2 linked regions of the Macaca fascicularis genome follow. The protein of the gene in region 1 interacts with the protein of each later gene in a pairwise test. Links are inferred from orthologs where the notes say so. Each region holds a gene or a part of one and is shown on either strand. Other genes may lie near its edges.

The links.
Region 2: the proteins of NAA10 (region 1) and KIFAP3 interact in binary tests that used the Homo sapiens proteins (3 or more experiments, as listed by UniProt). The two-hybrid records come from large-scale screens. The link is inferred for Macaca fascicularis from reciprocal best matches to the Homo sapiens genes NAA10 and KIFAP3.

The regions. Positions count from the first base shown.
Region 1 is NC_088395.1:159,989,652-159,999,364, forward strand, and holds the end of NAA10 (N-alpha-acetyltransferase 10), read right to left. Parts: intron 9,166-9,713; coding exon 9,120-9,165; intron 9,013-9,119; coding exon 8,897-9,012; intron 8,697-8,896; coding exon 8,652-8,696; intron 7,404-8,651; coding exon 7,319-7,403; intron 6,779-7,318; coding exon 6,542-6,778; 3' UTR 6,476-6,541; downstream 1-6,475. Other genes in the region: ARHGAP4 (rho GTPase-activating protein 4), read right to left, coding at 2,743-2,809. UniProt on the Homo sapiens protein: Catalytic subunit of N-terminal acetyltransferase complexes which display alpha (N-terminal) acetyltransferase activity. Acetylates amino termini that are devoid of initiator methionine.
Region 2 is NC_088375.1:27,553,820-27,563,084, reverse strand, and holds the end of KIFAP3 (kinesin-associated protein 3), read left to right. Parts: exon of another isoform or gene 1-1,218; intron 1,219-3,796; coding exon 3,797-3,902; 3' UTR 3,903-4,250; downstream 4,251-9,265. UniProt on the Homo sapiens protein: Involved in tethering the chromosomes to the spindle pole and in chromosome movement. Binds to the tail domain of the KIF3A/KIF3B heterodimer to form a heterotrimeric KIF3 complex and may regulate the membrane binding of this complex.

The sequences.
Region 1 (9,713 bases):
CTCCCTAGTCTCAGCTCCCCTGACTCCAGGTGCCCCAGCCCTGGCTGCATGCGTCACCCACCCCTCCGTCCCTCCACTCCCTGCCCCCACCAGACTAGCCAGGTGAGGGACCCAGGAGCCTGATCCTTCCAATTGAATTACTGAACAGGAGAGCTCTTCCCACTGGGGGATCAAGCTGGGTAAGTGGAAGCCTGGGGCGGGGGACCTCCTGACAGGGCAGGGCAGAGCCCACGATGCCAAGTGAGGCAGATGGAGAGTGTCCTCATCCTATCTGAGGCTGGCCTCCTGTGGTTAACTTGTCAGCTCCAAGGCCAGGTGGGGTGGGCGCTAATGCCATTTGAAATCAGGAGAGTCCTCACTGAATCAGTTTAACGTTTTGTTTTGTTTATTTTGTTTTGAGACGGAGGATATTGCCCAGGCTGGAGTACAGTGGTGCAATCTCGGCTCCCTGAAACCTCCGCCTCCCGGGTTCAAGCGATTCTCCCACCTCAGCCTCCCGAGTAGCTGGGACTACAGGCATGCACCACCACACCCAGCTAATTTTTGTATTTTTAGTAGAGACAGGGTTTCACCACGTTGGCCAGACTGGGTCTCAAACTCCTGACCTCAGGTGATCCGCCCGCCTCGGCCTCCCAAAGTGCTGGGATTACAGGCGTGAGCCACCACGCCCAGCCCGGTTTAACATTTTTTGATAGAAGTAAATTTCATTTCATTCCAAGAAAGGTGCGACTGCTCACCTCACTGGCCCTCTGGAGCCTGTCTTGCCCTGCTTCCCCCAGAGGAATACAATCTCTGGGGACTTATGACAACTGAACAGTGCAGAAGGAACCAGCAGAGGGAACCGCTGCCTTTCTTCATCACTGCCGGCAGTAAAAGCTAACTGGAAGCCATGTCCCAGTCCAGATCCGGGCATGCACACCCGGCTGGTGTTGAGCAGGAAACTTGTGAATTGCAAGTTGATTGCACTGGTGGCTTTCCTGGCCGAGCTTTCAGATCTCAGTTCAGACAAACTCGTCAGCACACCCTGTCCTGGCCTCCCCCCAAACTAGGGCTGGCCCTCTTCCGACCCCTTCTTGGCACACTGCACTTTCCCTCTGTGGTGCTTATTATCATAATGGAAAGTCTATGTCTCCCCCACTAGACCCATGAGCCATGTGAGGGCAGGGTGGGTGCTGACGCCATTTGAAATCAGGAGAGTCCTCATTGAATCACTGTTTTTACTCTGGGTAAAAAGCCAGGGCTGGAGGGGCTGGAGTCGGGGTTCTCTCCTGTACAGCAGTATGCTTCCAGGGCCTGGGACAGCAGAGATGTATAGGAAACATCTGGCAAAAGGAGAGCTGGAATCCATGTCTGCCTGAATTACAGAGCTGGGCCCAGGGCCCCACCAGCACTTCCTGTGAGCAAGGCATTTGGTCTCACTTCTGCTGACAAGCAAAACAGAAGAGAAGATGGTCTCCAAAACCACGGCTATGCTGACCTTTGAGAATTTAGGGTGTCAAGACAGTGACCCCGTTTTGTAGCATGGTAGGAAGTTTTTCTAGGGTGTGGGATGCAGACCCAGAGCAAGTGAGGAACCCTTAGATAGTCTTGCTCGAAACCCCAACTTTTCAGTGTGAAATCACTGACCCATATTTGCTGATTGAAGTTTTCCAAGTCTTTCAGCTTCATGGCATTTTGGGGAAGCAGGATGGAGATGATTACTTCCATCTGAGCATGATGGTGAGGCTTGGAAAGCTGGCTCACCCTGCGTAGTCACCTCAAGCTGGTTCTGGACACAGGCTGCCTTTTCCAAAGGAGGAGGACTGGGGCATACTTTAAAGGGTATAAATTGCTTGCACTGAATAATGATGTTAGAACCTACATCTCTGGGTTGAAAGGCACTTCAAGGGTTATTGCATTCTACGTCCTAGAAGTTGTAGTGCTGTGTTACCACGGGCAAGTCATTGCACCTCTCTGAGCTTGTTTCCGTAACTGGTAAAATGGAGTGATTGAGAGTGATATGGAGGAGCTGCTGGCACTGAGATGCTGCCTCTTTCCTTTGCAAGAGTTACCATGCCCTGAATAAGATGGGCACAAGCTATTGGCTAAGAATTTGCAAAGCTGATTTGCATGTGATTTGCACATGGGTGTTTATCAGAACCCAAAGAGGTTCAATTTCAGAAGGCTGAGAAGCCAGCCCTGTTAAATCTCTCAACCAAGACTCACTGCGCCAGCTTGACCCAGAGACAGTGGCCCTTGCCTCTGATCCCCCTCAGTGCTAAAGGGGGGCAAAAGGTGCTGAGGCTCCAGGGACTACACTGGGGTTAGGGCCAGGTGATCTCCACCAATCCACTTACCCAGACTCCCTTACTCACCCCCCACCCCCCACCCCCTAGCCCAATCAAGGTGGTTGACTTCACTGTAGCTAAACTACCGCCTTCTGGGGGGCACGTTGGTACATCCGGCTCCCCTTTACCGGCGGCCACCAGTGTCTACACTGAACCTTGGGTGAGGAGCAGAGACCCAAGGAGGACAAAGACCAAAAGAAGGAAGACAGGAAAGAAGGAAGGGAAGATGGCAGGCGGTTGAGGCCAAATGGGCGTGGGGAGGCAGGCAAGAGGCTCAGGCTCCCTCCTCCACCCCCACTCCAGAGGTCGCTGGGGAGAGCATCGGGCCCTGGGTCAGCGCGGGGACGCTTGGGGCTCCCTCACGACCTTGGGGTCTCCGCAGGAAACGGGCCGGGAGCGCCCGGCGCCCTCTCACCTTTGACTTGCGTCTCATACTCAGCCTGCAGCCCCCGCTCCCGCCGCAGCTTCCCGTGAGCGGCCATGGCGGCCTAGCGGCCGCGCCGTCGAACCCCACTGCTCCCACGCGGCCGTGAGTGGGCCCGGCGCCGGGACTTGGGGGCGCTGCGGCCAGCACCCTGCGCGGGCTCCGCCCAGCCCCGCCCCCAGCGCGGCTCCCGGTGGGGCGGGGCGGCCCAGGGCTGGCACTGCCCGCGAGGGGCTCCTGGGGGCAGGGCGCCCCTTCCAGCCCCACTGTGCCCCGGTCTTGCCGTCTCCTCCCACTGGGCCTGCACCTAGACTGCCTTGTGCCCAAAGCCCCGCTGCCAAGCAGCCGGAGCGGGCATGAGAGCCCCAACATAAGCTGGCATCCCAGGCTGCCATCCCCCCACCTCCAGAAGGCTGTCCCTGGTCACCACTGCCAGACTGCACAGTTCACAGCGGGGCCGCTGGCCCACAGTACCAGTGGACATGAACACCATTGCTGCCCCAGTCTCTGGACTCCCCCTGGGTGGCCTGCTTCCCCCAGACATCGGATGGGGTCCTCCCTTCCCAAGTCAGCCCCCAGAGAGGTCCAAGGAGCCTTGAGAGCTGGGGTGGGAAGTTCAGAGGGGAGGGGGAAGGAAGGTCAGCACCAGAGAGCAGAACCTCAGCAGCTGGCTGCCATTCCCTCCAGGCCCCCTTGGTAGGGGAGGAGAGTTCAGCTCCGGTTCCCCTTCTGCTCAGCCCCACGATTTCCCCATAGGCGGTTACCACTTCCTGCTGCCGGAAGAGACTGCTCTGCCTCCCTTCCCCTGCAGCTGCACCTGCCCGTCATAGGCCTGAGGGGGGCAGCCCCCTCGGAGTAAGATCTTAGCTACCCTGGGGGCAAGTCTTGGGGCCTCCCTCATCCACGGGTGGTGGGGCTTTCCTCCACTCTCTACCACAGGGCAGCAGCTTTTCTCCGGGAAATCGGGAAGGCAGGAGGCAGAAGGCGGTTGACAAGTCAAGCAGACAACTTACTTCAATTTGGTGGGAGGGAAATCCCTGGGGTATAGATGTGGGGAGAGGGGCAAGGCACTTGGGCACCAGGCGTCTGTTCCGAAGGCGGGCCTGCGGGCACTAGTGCAGGGGTACTAGGCGTGTGTTTGCACGCATGTCAGAGTAAGGCTCTGTGCAAATGTGGGCACATATGACCCTGACCTGCAGATCTGGGGACGAGAGGCTGTGCGGGTACTTCCTGCCTTTCAACTAGGAGCAATTAATTCTCTTGCCCAGAAGGGAAAAAACACTCCCTCACCTCCCCTCCCCCTTCTCCCAGTACCAAGGCCCTTCCCGAACACGTCGTCGAGTGTGTCTGCAGGACCTGGTGCTTCAAGGCCTGGGAGCTAGCCAGACCCAGGCAGGCCCAGGACCTGGACTTCCAGCAGCTGCCCTCGGAAGTACCGATGTTCGAGTTCTCCAGAGAGACTAGAGAGCCTGCGCCCCTGCCTACAGCCGCACCCACACCCTAACCTGCTCCTGGTTGGGAGACTCCCACGTCCCACCTCTGCCTCAGGCCAAGGGGAAGCAGGGACCCCCGCCCCTCACTAGCTGGCCCCCACACACCCTGCCCCTCCATCCGAGCCCCGACTGGTCCCCAAAGATCCCTCCACCCAGCAGAGCCAGATACAGGGCTCAGGCAGGCAGGAAAGGCCTCAGTCCGTGCCTTCAAACGCTCTCTTCGCTCTTTTTTTCACTCCAGAGCTATTCCTAGGATGCCCCATTCAGCCCGTGCTTTAGAGCCTGAGTGTTTGGCCCAGGCTTTTAGGGCACTTGTTTGGCATTTAAGGCCCTGAACGCAACTGCCCCCTGCTGCTCGCTCTATCCTTCGCTCCATTGTTCCCCTTCAAAGCATTCAAAAGCCAGGCAGCCCGCAGAAGGCGGGGACCTGTCCGCCTGGGGACGGAGGGAGCGGCCGACAGGCATCGGGCCCGCCAGGGACGGATGGCAGAGGGCGGGCCGGGTCCAGAGGGCCGGGCAGGGGCGGAAGGAGGGCGCCGCGGACGCCGTGGGAGCTTGGGCCAGCTCCCTTCCACCGGCGCCGGGGCGCGGCCGAGGCAGTGCGCAAGCCCGCCCTTCCCCCGCACCCCACGCGCAGAACCCAGAGCCGCCGGACCAATCAGAGCCTGGGAACGAAGCTTGCCGCGGGCTTGCGAACCGGAAGACACTGACGCCAGGCGCGGGGCGGGCCAGAGCTCCGCCTCCGGCCCATACAAAGGGAAGCCCACGTCTTAAGCCAATCAGAACACAGCCTCGCCCGAGCCGCGAACCGGAGAGCTGCGGGCGTGCGCAGACGCGCCTTTCCGGCCCCGGCCCCGCCCTGCCGGTCTCCGGGCTCCGCTTCCACAGCAGCTGGCTGCCTGCTGGTCACGTGCCAGGCGCCAGCCAAAGAGAACCGAGCTCCAGGTCTGTTTGGCGAATTTTCAACCTGGCGGAGGAGCAGTGCCACCTGCAGTAGCAGGGTACACAGAGGGCTCAGGAATACAGGGCCCGCCCAGGGACTAGGAACAGCAAGCGATGGCTTTGCAGCCGGAGGGAAGGGAAGGGAGGAGACACAGGAGAGAGCGTTACGGTTAGGGTGACTCCATGAAAAACAGGATTTTGATGTGTGTGTATGTATTTATTTATTTATTTAGAGACGGGTCTCTGTCCCTGGAGTGTGGTGGCGTGATCAGAGCTCACAGCAACCTCCACCTCCCGGGCTCAAGGGATCCTCCTGCTTCAGCCTCCCGAGTAGCTGGGATTACAGGCGTGCACCACCACACCCGGTTTTCTATTTTTAGTAGAGATGGGGTTTCGCCATGCTGCCCAGGCTGGTCTCCAACTCCTGAGCTAAAGTGATCCGCCCACCTCGGCCTCCCAAAGTGCTGTGATTACAGGCATGAGCCACCGCACCCAACAGCCACCCAGTTTTGTATTCTGCATGAAATTATTTTGAGGGAATAAATGGCTTTATGTATTTGTGTAACCCCATAGAAACTGTACAACACAGACAGGAAACCTAATGTAAACCATGGGCTATAGTTTACAATAACTTATCAGTATTAGCTCATCAACAATAACAAATACACCAACTAATACAAAATGTCAATAGGGCAAACGGGGGGAAATTGTACTAAAAATAAATTATTTTCAAATGCAAACTCAGGGAGTAGACTCAAGAGGTATCATGGACTCACTGACCATTAGGGTGGCAGGGAAGGGAGGACTCAAGGACCGTTGACAGGGCGTCTGGCTGGGTCATTATACTCAGGACAGCTGTAGATAAGCCCAATGAGCAGTCAGATGTCCACATCTGGAGCCCACGGCTATGCCGCAGAGCTGCTGTAGCCCAAAGCAGGTGTGATTAGGGAGAGAAAAGGTCTGAAGGTGAAGATGGGAGGAGAACTGAAGGATACCAAGAGTGGGAGCCCTGCTGTTGAGCTTTGAGCCTAAGCGGCCCAGGCTTATGCCACAAAACACATTCAGCGTGGCCAAGCAGACCTCCAAGGCAGGGTCTCTCCCTAAGCCCAGGGCCTCCTTCCCGGGGCCACAGCTGCTGAAGGCCATGAGACTGGGGAGTCCCACCTCCAAAGCTCTTCCCTTCTATTCGGACTGGCAGGATGCTCTGGGTCAAAAGGCTGAGGCTCACCTCCCCACCAGAGGACCTGGAGAAACACACCCTCTAAATGTGCACACGCACACACACGAAGTTCCCCAGTGCCACGGAGCGAATTTATTGTGAAAGCTCGTGGGGTGAGGAAGGGATGGGGCAGGCTCTAAGAGGCCGAGTCGGAAGCCTCTGAGCTGTCCTTGACATCTGTGCTCTCTGTGGTCTCGCTGACCTCGCTGAGGTCCTTGCTGTCCCCACCACTATCCTCGGCAGCCAGGCCCTTCTCCTCGCGACAGGCCTCTCCTGAGCTCGGAGGTGAATTGCCTTTGCTCTCCACCTTGTTCTCGATGGCACCCAGCACCACATGCCTGCCCTTCTCCTTCAGCTCCAGGTGCCGCCTCAGCTGCCACCAGGAACCCAGGGAGAAGCAGGAGGTAAAGAGATGGGGCCTAAGTTTCCAGACAAAGGGAGCCTGGCCCTGTCGCTGGCTGAGGAGAGGGGCATAGTGAGGCAGCAGGGCTAGGCAGGACACGTGGGACTGAGTGGGGACACCTGGCTGGAGCCCCAGTCCACTGCTACCTGGGCTCACTGACTACCACGGAGGCCCCCACGACACAGCGTTGCCCCTTGACCAGCCCTGCCACCCAAGGAGCCTGGGGCAGAACCCTGACTCAGAACTACCTCTGAGCAGGCAGGCCACCCACTGGTCCCCAGGCCTCCCCACTTCCCTTCTAAAAGCCTCCTCCCTCTGCCTCTCCCATCACCCTCCAGGCTGCTAGGCAGATGGCCTCCTCTAAAGCCCAACCTAGGAAACTGAGGTCGTGACTCCTGGCAACATAGCCACAAGGGCTGGCATTCAAAGTTGGTCGCACCTCCAGCCACTGTCTCGGGGCTCCCCAATGCCACCCCCGCTTGCCTGGCTTGGCTTCATGCAGGCTCTTACCTCGTCGGCCATCTGAGTGAGGTCTCGCTTCATGGCATAGGCGTCCTCCCCATCTGCATAGTATTTGGGCTCCACTTCACTGATCCTGGGGGCAGAGGGTAGAGAGCAAGGAGGAAGACCCATACCTGGGGGACACCCTCCTCCACTCCTGGTATCATGGCTACTGGAGCAAGATGCCGTGTTTTCTCCCTGAAGGGCTCCTTTCTGAGACAGCAAGTCCGGTGTGACCTGCCCTCTGTTCTCTCCAGCAAAGGCTCCAGGAAACAGCGGCCCGCCCCACCCCTGTCCTGCCCCCGTTCTGTGTCCTTAGCCTGGCTACTAAGGATTCATTTCTGTGGTTTCTTGTGAGCTGAATTCCTGAATTCAGCCTTCCCCTTCCCTCCCTGCCCTGCGTCCTGTCCCTTACTGAGCTGCCTCTCAACAGCCATCAGAACCCAGGAAAGACAGTGAGCTCTGTTTAGGGGAGTCATCCCTAGGCAGCACGGGCCCTGCCTGAGCAGCTCAGGGGCCATGCCTGCACTGGGGAGGCATGTGTGCAGACTCGGGTGGCCATGTCCCTGGAAGGGGAGCTGGACTCAATGGCCTAGGCTGGCCCTGCCAGGCCTAAGACATGAGGATTGTTGACTTAGCTATAAAGCAGTTCCCACCAGACATCCTCATCTGGGTCACAGATCCCTCTTGCCAGCATCCAGCCCAGAGGCCACTGCCCTTCCCAACAGTCCCTCCTCTTCACCCCTACCAAACAGGGGCTGACTGCAGTTAGTGTCCCTCCACGGGCAGCCCACCCCAGCTTCACTTGCAAGCACTTTTTTCCACTGTCTACTGGGCATGCTGACTGCCAGGTCCTCTCTCCTGTGCTAGGCACACGGGGCCTCCCGGTCCTCAGGCAGACCTGCCCCATCCACTAGGCTGCCTGGCCGCCGGTCCTTCCTTCCTGAACGTGCATTCTCCTTGATTCTGCTCTCTCTTGGATTCTTCCAGGTGCTTGGCCATGCTATGATCTGCTCACGCCAGGGACCCACACCTCTTTATTCCCAAACATTACTAAACAGCCCGTGTGCCCTTCACCAGCCTCTGCCAGCATGGGCCAGAGCTCCTCCATCACAACACACACGGAGCACGTTTCAGCAGGCAGGTGCTGTCTCCATGCCGGCTTTTCAACCATCAGCCACCGAGTGAATGTGGAGGCATCCTGGCAGCACTGGGGTCCACAGCGTCCTCCCCACATCCGGCCCACCCCTAGCCTGGAAGGCAACTCAGCCGGTCTCAGGTGCCCTGGTGGGCCAGACCTGGGGCCAACCCCAGCCCACGAGAAAACTCGAGATCTACTTACTGAAAGTTGAGGGTGTTGGAATAGAGGTGCAGGGCGGCCCGGTTACTGCAGGGGAACAAGGCACTGCTGAGCTGCACGGACATGGCCAGGGAGGGGTAGCACGTCCAGTGCCTGCCCCTCCTCTTGGTCCCTCCTTCACCCCAATCCCACTTCCTGGATCTTCACCAAAAGCCGAGGTACCCCAGGACCCCCGTCAAGGCAATATCTCTCCCCCTCAATCCCCCTTCCCTCAGCCCGGCTTCCACCTCTTCCTGACATGCAGGGAGACGTATTTGGCATTGAAGTTCTCTATCATGGCTCGAGAGGCCTGGTCCATCAGTTTCTGAGCCAGACCGAGGCGCCGGTGGGAACGCTTCACAGCCTGGTAGGAGAAGAGCAGAGAGCGGGTGAAGGACTGGGACCTTGAGGGCTGCCTCAACTAACCCCCACTTCCACCCCCACCAGAGAGCCTGAGTGAACCTTACATACCAATGAAGTGATATGTCCATGGGGCACATCATCTGGGTCCTCTTCCCTGGAGAGGGAGAAAGCAGAGGCTGCAAAGGAGCTCAGTGTAGGCACAGCCACCCCCACCCCCCGCCATCTGTAAAGTGGATATGCAAATTCTAGGCTGGCCCTACAGCCCCCTAAGACCCCAGCTCGGGGAGAGCCAGGAGCCTCTTGGATCAGAGCAGCTGATCCTGCCACCCTCTACTGCCTGAAAACCCCATGCCTGCCAGGTATGGGGCACACGCCTATAGTTCCAGCTACTCGGCAGGCCGGGTCAAGAGGATTGCTTGAGCCCAGGAGTTCGAGACCAGCCTGGACAACACTTTTTTTGTCTCTACAAAAAAAAAAAAATCAAAAAATTAGCTGGGTGTGGTGGCGCATGCCTGTGGTCTCAGCTACTTGGGAGGCAGAGGTGAGAGGATCACTTGAGCCTGGGAAGTTGAGGCTGCAGTGAGCCATGATCATGCCACTACACTCCAGCCTGGGCAACAGAGCAAGACCCTATCTCAAAAAATAAAAATAAAAAAAGAAATGAGCTGTCAACCCATGCAAAGACAAGGCAGAAGCTTAAAT
Region 2 (9,265 bases), on another chromosome or scaffold:
TAAATATTAGTGAAAACTCAGTCTTCTGCTTGCTGAATGCTAATTAGATTTCTAAATTTATTTTAAAAAACACACTCTAGATGTGGTTTTCTATTTGTTGTTGAGTTTTAAATATAATTTTTGTCTTTTAAAGAACTTGTCATTTTTCTTCCTAGGTACCCAGAAATAATTGTTATTGGGAAATAAAACTTAATGGCAGATTGACTTTTTGCCCTTATCATTCCTAGTTATCTTTTCGCAATAAACAATAACTATTTTCTTTGGACCAGAATTATGTATTTTCAGGAAGAGACACTGTATTTTGGTGATTCAAAGGTCCAAAATATGTTATCTGAACATTAAGGATAAAGGTGAAATGACACTAAATAACCAATCCTGTAAAGAAAAAGTACTATAATAGTGGCATATACTAATCTAGAGGGATACACCACTTTTTATGTGGGTTAGGAGTAGCAAGAAGAAACTATGTACATACAGAGACACGCACCCTACAAGATTGGATTAAATTCCAGTATACTTATAAATAGCCACGTATTCAAACTGGTATCTGAAGCAAAATGGTCACACAAGGCAAGAGCAGATGTGGCATATCACAGCTTACTTTTCCTTGCTTCTCAGGGCCCCTAGTGAGGGCATACAAATTCCTGTGATACACACTATTGAAGTCAAGTCTTTCCAGATCAGGAAAGCACAATTTTTGCTGCAACATTGCCTTTCTATATTCATAGTTTCTATCTCCTTCAAGAATTTACATGAAGAATCTATCTGCTTCTGTTTAAAGGAAAACTCTCCTGGTTTTGAACTAAACTCAGCATTAGCAAGGCTATATCCTTTTCCCAAGGAAAAAAGTAAAGTGTCTACATATTCCAAAAGAATATCTCCAGGTTTTAGCATCCTGGAAAGCCTAATTTCCCCCACTATATTAGAAAGAATCAAATGAGAGGGATTAAAGAAACAAACTATTTGTTTCACAGTGAATTTAATTAAAAATGTATTAATTCTGTAGATATAGTTGATTTTTCATAATACAAAAGGACCTAGGACCTATGTCAATGTATTCTCTAAACTGATCATAAATGTTTTAAATATTTTTTTCTTTAAACAGCAAGTTCATCTGTGATACATAATGAAGAATTCCAGAAAAGATCATTTTAGAGTTTGGTTTCAAATTTTATTCCTTTTTCCCCAAATGATATTTGTATATAGAAATTCAGAAAATTAAATGATGTCCTCTACACTGTAATACCCACAGGTGTCTCTGGGTGAACTGTTGACTGCATAAATAGATCTTTACCATAGTAACCTAAAGACCATGCTGTTCAAGACCAGAGATTTATAGGTTCAGAAACTCAGACTCATCAGTGCTCAAGGGTCATTCTTTCACTGACTTGGGACTTCTGATTCTTATCAACAATGTGCATGACATATTTTAAAAAGAATAAAAAATCCATTTGTTAATGTACAATGGAAGTTATAACCATCAGGTAGATTAGGTAATATCTAAGTTTATTATTTACCCTATTGGCAAATTACATGGGAAAACAATGATCAATAGTTTGCCTATTAGTCATAGAAATAAAAAAAAGGGGGAGAATTTTGCAACTTGAATGTAGAATGGCCTCAGACTCTGAGAATGTTAAATTCCCTTCCTGACTGAGGACCAAACTGCAAAAAAGGCCAGATATTCCTTATGGTGTTATAGCTTACCAGATCACCACACAATTGCTTAGGTGGCTACAACCAGCATTGTAGCCGAGAAGCTCCTTGTTTTGTGCCAACGACTGGCAAACTCCCTTCTGAGGACCATCTTCTTTTAGATAAAATTACAGTGATATTGCTAACAAGTCATCTGTGAGATACTCTGTTTTGAAGGTGCCTTTTCATATTTCCTCACTGTCCCATATATGCCTCTTGTTTTCAAATTACTGAAATAGATCTTGCCATAGCCCCCAGATTGAGAAACGAACATAAGATTAACTTGTGTTTAACCTAAGTTTACTGCTATTTGGCCTCAGAGGAGTTGCTAAAAACGATAAGGACTGGTTAAAGACAGGTAATAAGCAGAAAGATGAAGAAGGAACAAGTTGAAATCCAAGCTATGTAATCAACAGTTGTATAATGGAGAGTTCTTTAGATAGATAATTACTTGTTAGCCTTAGTGCTTGCAGAGAAAGGTTTTCAATAACTTTTACTCTAATTTTAAGCTGATACCAGTGCCTCTTAGTTCACTGACTCCATTAATTTCTGAAACATCTGTTAAGCTACCTCTTGATTCCCTCATCACAAAATTTAGTCTCTCTTCCCATGAGACCAAAGTAAGAAAAGGTGCTTATATTTTTACCATTTCAAAATAAAATGTAGACTTAAAAATTTCAACCAACTTTGAGAAACTATAGACAAAGTTTTGATGTAGGAGGAGCCCAAAACAATAAATTGTGTCCAGGACTGCTCAGTACAAATGCTAACCTGAAACTTGTATTTCAGAACTTCCATTCTCCTAAAGGGTAGAGTCACTGGACCAGTATGTGTTATATGTATTTTGGCTCTTTACATTTACTCTTTAGTTCCATCTTAATACACACCAGCATGCGTGCACACGCACACATGCACATACACACATTTATTTAAAACCTTCACATTTTAATAGTTACTTCTAAAGTGTGTCAACTTAATCTCACTCTGAGTGTGACAGAGAGTTAGTGCCTGTGTGAATATATTTTTTCATCAGATTCAGCTTTTGCTATTGAGGGAAAATTATCTTTCCATCTCCTCATGTAGTGCAAACTTAAATCATTTAAATATGTTTTATTTTTCCAAAACTTACATTTCTGCATTACAAATGGTTTCTATTGATTGGAAGTCAAGCTCACTAGCATTCACTGCATGAGCTATGCATGAGCATGTTAAGGCCACCATATTCTGCCTGGTAACATTAATACTTTGTCATTTTCCTAAGTGTCGGATAATTCCCTGACCTTTAAAAAGGACTTTGGAGAACAGATTTTCCTCTAAATAATGTATTAATAGATCAACAAGTAATTTTTTTAATAATCATGAAGTTTAACATACTTGAAGCTATCTTTACAGCTCTGAAGGTTATCTTTGGGTTTCTGTTTTTTCCATAGAATAAGTTGAACCAGAATTTGTAATTGCCTTGCTGTCACTCAAAAGAAATAGATACTTTTTGTAATTGTTTGCATTGAGGAATCAGAGGAAGGATTTGCAGATCAAATCTGACTAATTTTCACATTTTGTCAAATTCCTTATCTTGTTCTTTTAATCATAGGCTTATGGTATGATTTGGCCCTGCATGAGAGTTCACTGATACAACTCAAACACATGTTTTTACTAAAAGTGGAATTAGTCCCATATCGTCATATGAAAAGACATTATAAACAGCAAAACTCACTTTACTACAGTTTTATTTTTATCATTCCCTAGCAATATATTACTGATCATTGCTAGCATGTAAAATCTTTTCATATTTTTGCTTAAGAGCCATATATAAGTAATTCATTAAATAAAACTTTTCTAACTTGATTCTTCCACTTTGTTTAGAATAGTACCTACTGACAGAGGTTTCTCATACTTTTAACACACATTGTTAGAAGTATTTTATTATATACACTTTTAATGGCTCTATTAACCTTAAGAAAAAAAAGTTAGTGATATCCACAATAAATCACTATCCCTGCTAGGAGGAGAATGTTGGTGGTATAAAAATCTAGGCCTCTTAATCTGCATTGTGGATGTGTGATGAAAAACGTAGCTTATCTTTCCTTTTTCTCTTTTTTAGCCTTGGAATGGATGGCTTTGGCCAACCAGTTGGCATTCTTGGACGCCCTGCCACAGCATATGGATTCCGCCCTGATGAACCTTACTACTATGGCTATGGATCTTGATAAAGTATCTGTTTCCATGCGTTACCTCAGCTTAGAAGAAATCTGTGTGGGTTGGGTGAATTTTGGATCTTTGCCTAATAATGCATGTTGATGTTATTGTGGGTCTGTGTTTATTTTTATTTTTATATGTTGTTAGCTGCAGATTAACCCCAGCCCCTTCTGTCTTCTGTTAAGTACAGTCGATACTGACATTGTTCACTCATCAAACCACATCTTGATACTGAGTAACATTTCCCATGAGCCTCAAAACTGAATGCTGAAAAGCTACTAGACTGGAAAAGAAACACTGCATTATGTACGTTAAGTGACTAATTTAATTTCAATTAAAAAGTATAAAGTGAAAATGAATAAGTGAAAGTCATGTGTTTATATTTCACACGTTTCATTACGAATTACATGTTAACATAGGGTGCACATGAGTTTTATTTTTTGTCCTTTTTTTCTGCTTGTAAAGTCTTGAGTAATTCATATAATATATGCTACCTTTATAATTTATAAAAAGAACATCACCTTCATATTCCATGCCATGTGCCTGAAAGTTTCCTTCCCAAAGTTTATTAACTATGAGTTTTCAATTAATAATGGAACATATGCCATAAGTTATTTATGGTTATAGTCTCTTCAGAGGTTTTAATTCATGTCTTCCTGGTTGTAATATAGAAATCCTAGGACAACTAGTATACAAGACAAGCGGTGATACAAGATTAGCATTTGGCTTTTAACTTTTATTCTTCATAAATTTAGTATCTAAACCATGGGAAAGCTAATTAAAAGTCTCATTATGGAAAACTAAGGAACAGAATATTTCACTCACTTTGGTACCCAGTTCCCAATTATTCACTTGTTTTTATAACATAGCTTTAGATAGCAAGAAATGGATGGACATTATATAATAATGAGTTTTAAAAGTAATTCAGTGTTTTCATATTGAGAAAAATGTTCAATTCTACTTGAAAAACTAAGCAAACAAATAACCATAATAATAACTATAATCAGAGATAGTTCCATGATCACCTGCTATGGAAGGAAATATGAAGCTTCAAAGGGAATACATAGATCAAAGATAAGACTTCTATTCTTGAATTTAAAATCTCGTTGATCTAAGTACACTATTTATTTGGCTTAAATTACATTTTAAGCAGAGGATAACATTTGGAAAAGGCCTTTGAAATAACTCAGTCTGCCTACTTATTTAAGAAACCAATCACATAAAGAATTTAAATGTAATCAACAGATATTTTCCTGACTACCTGCTATGTGTAAGGAAGTATATAATGCACCTTAGGGGATGCTTATGTTTATGTTTATGCCTTTGATCTTTCTGAAAACATACATTTATTTGTCTTAGTTTCTATTTTAACCATAAAATATTAAAGCTGGAAAAGGCCTTAGAAGCAACCCTGTCCAACTCTTTTTGCAGTCAAAAAAACTGTGGCCAGGAGAGGTTAAGTGACTTAGTCAATGACATAGCCTGTCTCTTTGCTTCCTATTCAGCAATCTCAATACTAAATACCTTGTTTTATTATTTTCATGCATACAAAGTATAAATACACATAAGTGACATTAATAGGAAAATGATGCAAACATCCTATAGCTTTAACTTCCCTCATGTTGTTATAAACTGCTTTAGGAAGAACACCCCCCAAAATTGATAACATTCCCAGGGCTATGCTCACTGAATTTTACATGCACATACTCACTCTCCCTAATTTTTTTTCATTAGTTTAGGACTTAACAAATTTAAAAATTGTTTCCACTCAGGTATGAACTGGTTTACCATTGCATTATTTATGAAGGAGTGTTTTTCTAAAGAGATTAATAAGGAAGATTATCTAAAAAAAGATTTGTTTTAAAACAGGGTCTTGCTCTGTCACCCAGGCTGGAGTGCAGTGGCACAGTCACCTTTCACTGCCGCCTCAGCCTCCCAGGCTCAAGTGATCCTCCCACCTTAGCCTCCCAAGTAGCTGAGACTACAAGCATGTGCCACTGCACTGGGCTAATTTTTTGTTTACTTTTTGTAGAGACGAGGTCTCACTATGTTGCCCAGGCTGGTCTCGAACTCCTAAGCTCAAGTAATCCACCTGCCTCAGCCTCCAAAGTGCTGGGATTACAAGCATGAGCCACCATGCCCAGCCTAATATTTTTACATACTTCAGAGAACAAAAGGTTTTGGCCTTGGGCACTTTTAGAAATACATTTTATGTAGTAAGACGAATATCCTGTCCTCACCACATTTTGACTACAAATTTAGGTCAGATTTATTTTAATAACTAAATTGTCATGGCTTCAAGCCCTGATTTATAGCTGAAAATTATTTCTTCTCCAGAGTTCTTTGCTCTTTCTGAGAGTTCATTAAGGTGCTTACTCACATAGGCCCAGGAATAGGTTTCTCATATTATGGTTCCTCCTCTTCCCCCTACACGGCTTTCTCTGTGTTCATGATCCTCATGAGATCACAGCTGCCCTCCACATGGGAGAACCACTGCTCCCTCCACTTAGGACCTGGGAAGATGACACTGCTCTCCCCTTTCTTATTCCCTTCCATGTGTGTGACACACCTGTTGCTTAAATCTGCACAGCACAACAGAAACTAAAGCTATATGTTTCATCATGACTTTACAGAGATATAAGTAATAAGGGAAGAGAGATATCATGCAAAATAACTTGCTATTATTACAAGAGCCAACAGTCACAAGGCTCTCACCTGGCCTGCATGGCAGGGCTAACTTGCCCTGTGCCACCAGAAATACTCAGGAATCTTTAGAATTCTAAGATGAGGCCAAACTCTCAGAAGGTCCCACAGAAAAGAGTGTTTTTTCTTCAAACCAACTGAAGACCTACTTTCAGAATCTGTTTCTTCTTCCAAGCTTAATTGTTATTAGCTACCTGATCTTCAGGATTTTACAGATCCTGTATATTTTAAGTCACAAAACAACAAGAGAGAAATAGAAACTGTCTGCCTACTTTTTCCCCAAGTGGTAGCTGGAGGTTTGTTTTTCTTTTTTTTTTTTTCTCCAGCCCCCTTTCTTTTGGGACAGAGTCTCTGTCTGTTGCCATGGCTAGAGTGCAGTGGCACTATCTCGGCTCACTGCAACCTCCACCTCACCTCCTGGGTCCAAGCGATTCTCATGCCTCAGCCTCCCGAGTAGCTGGGATTACAGGCACCTGCCACAATGCCTGACTAATTTTTGTATTTTTAGTAAAGATGGGGTTTCACCATGTTGGCCAGGCTGGTCTCAAACACCTGACCTCAAGTGATCCACCCACCTCGGCCTCCCAAAGTGCTGGGATAACAGGTGTGAGCCACCGCGCCCAGCCTGTTTTTCTTCTTTAACCTAGTCAACTGACCTAGTTATCGGCAAGTCTTCCCAAATTCTATCATTGAGGATACATTGAGGTTTTTAGTGAGGTGAATTACTGTGTTCTTCTATGTCTTTGTTGCTAGTTTAGTGGAAAATTTGAAAATACTGTTTTCTCCTAAAATATCTAAAATCCCACATAGACATGTGTAGTAGTTAGGTTTCTCCCGAGAGACAGAACCAACAGGAGGGAGGGAAAGAGGAAGCAAGGGAGGGAGAGAGAGAAATTAGGAGAGAGAGAGAGGATTTATTAGGGCAATTGGCTTACATGATTGTAGAGCTTAGAAGTCCCATGACAGGTCGTTTATAAGCAAGAGAACCAGGGATGCCAGTAGTGTGGCTGTCCAGGTCGGAAAGCCTCAGAACCAAGGAAGCCAATGGTGTAACTTATTAGTCCAAGGCTGGAAGTCTGAGGACCTGGGACTGCTGGTGCAAGTCCTAGAGTCTGAAGGTCAGAGAACCTGGAGTTCTGATGTCCAAGGGCAAAAGAAGGGTGTCCCAGCTCCAGGAGAGTGAGAACAAATTTGCCCTTCCTCTGTCTTTTTCTTCTATCTGGACCTTAAGCCAATTGGATGGTGCTCAGCCACATCAAGGATGGGTGTTCTTTATGCAGTCCACCAACTCACATGCCAGTCTCCTCCAGAAACCCCCTCACAAACAACCAGAAATAATGATTTTCCAGCTAAGTATTTCTTAACTTTTCTTAATCCTAAAATTAATTATCACCACAATCTAGGTAGGTAATTTAAAAGCTACAAAATTGAAATGATAATGCACTAGACTTTGCGATGTGTTCTCGGAGTACAGCAGCACTGCCCTCCTATTTGGGATAAAGAGTGGTCTGAAGCAGGCATTAAAGAAGGGAATACTGGGGAAAAATCAGTGATATGGAATAAAAATTTAAGAAGCTCTCTGACAAGGCAGAGGAAAAGAACATATACTAAATGATAAATAAGAATATAGGAAGCAAAAATCAGAGCACCAACATTTGTCTAGTAAGTTTTCCAGTTAAAATTTTTAAAACTCCTTTTAAAAAAGTACAAGAAGAAGACAAGAAAACCTTCCTGAGCTTAAAAAAAAAAAAAAAAAAAAAAGGATGCTTTTTTCCTACAATATGGTCATCCTGTTTTGAAAATGGAGACTGGCATCTATCTTGACATACGCTGGGAAAGGTCTTATGAAGAATGAGTTAAAACCTCCATAAGAATCTTGGAAAGACAAAATATCTTCAAAGAAACAGACCACCCTGAGAACTTTGACATTAAGTGGCGGAAAACAGTGAAGTGTGGTCCGTAGAGCTGTTTCCTTTTATTGAGGAGATAGATTTGGAACTCAAAAATACTACACCTGACCACTTTTCTTTACTTTTTCAAAAAATTTTATTTTGTGAGGGAGATAGAGATTCTTAAAGATCTCAGAAAATATACCTTCCATTTAATTTTCAGAAGAAAACGGTGGCTGGGTGAGGTGGCTAACAATTGTAATTCCAGCACTTAGGGAGGCCAAGGCAGGAAGATTGCTTGAAGCCAGGAGTTCCAGACCAGCCTGAGCAACAAAGCTAAACCCTATCTCTACAAAAAGTTAAAAACATTAACTGGGTGTGGTGACTCACACCTGCCATTCCAACTTCCCAGGAGGCTGAGGTGGGAGGATCACTTGAGCTCAGGAGTTGTAGGCTGCAGTGAGCTATGATCATACCACTGCACCCAGCATCGGCGACAGAGACCCAGAATGAGGAGGGGGAGGGGGAGAAAAAAAATAAATTGGTGCTATGACTTTTTTACATAATGCAAAACTAGCTCTAGAATTAGCAGGTCACAAAAGGACAGGTGTGAGCACTAAAAGCAGTTAAATATTTGCAAATATAGGTAATTATTACAAAACAACATGCAAATGTACTCCTGAAAAAATACATAAGGCAAAATAATTTGAGGATGATGACATGGTTTTGAAACTCAAGAATTGGATTGAGGGATAATGCTTTAGAGGCTTGGAGAAGAAAGT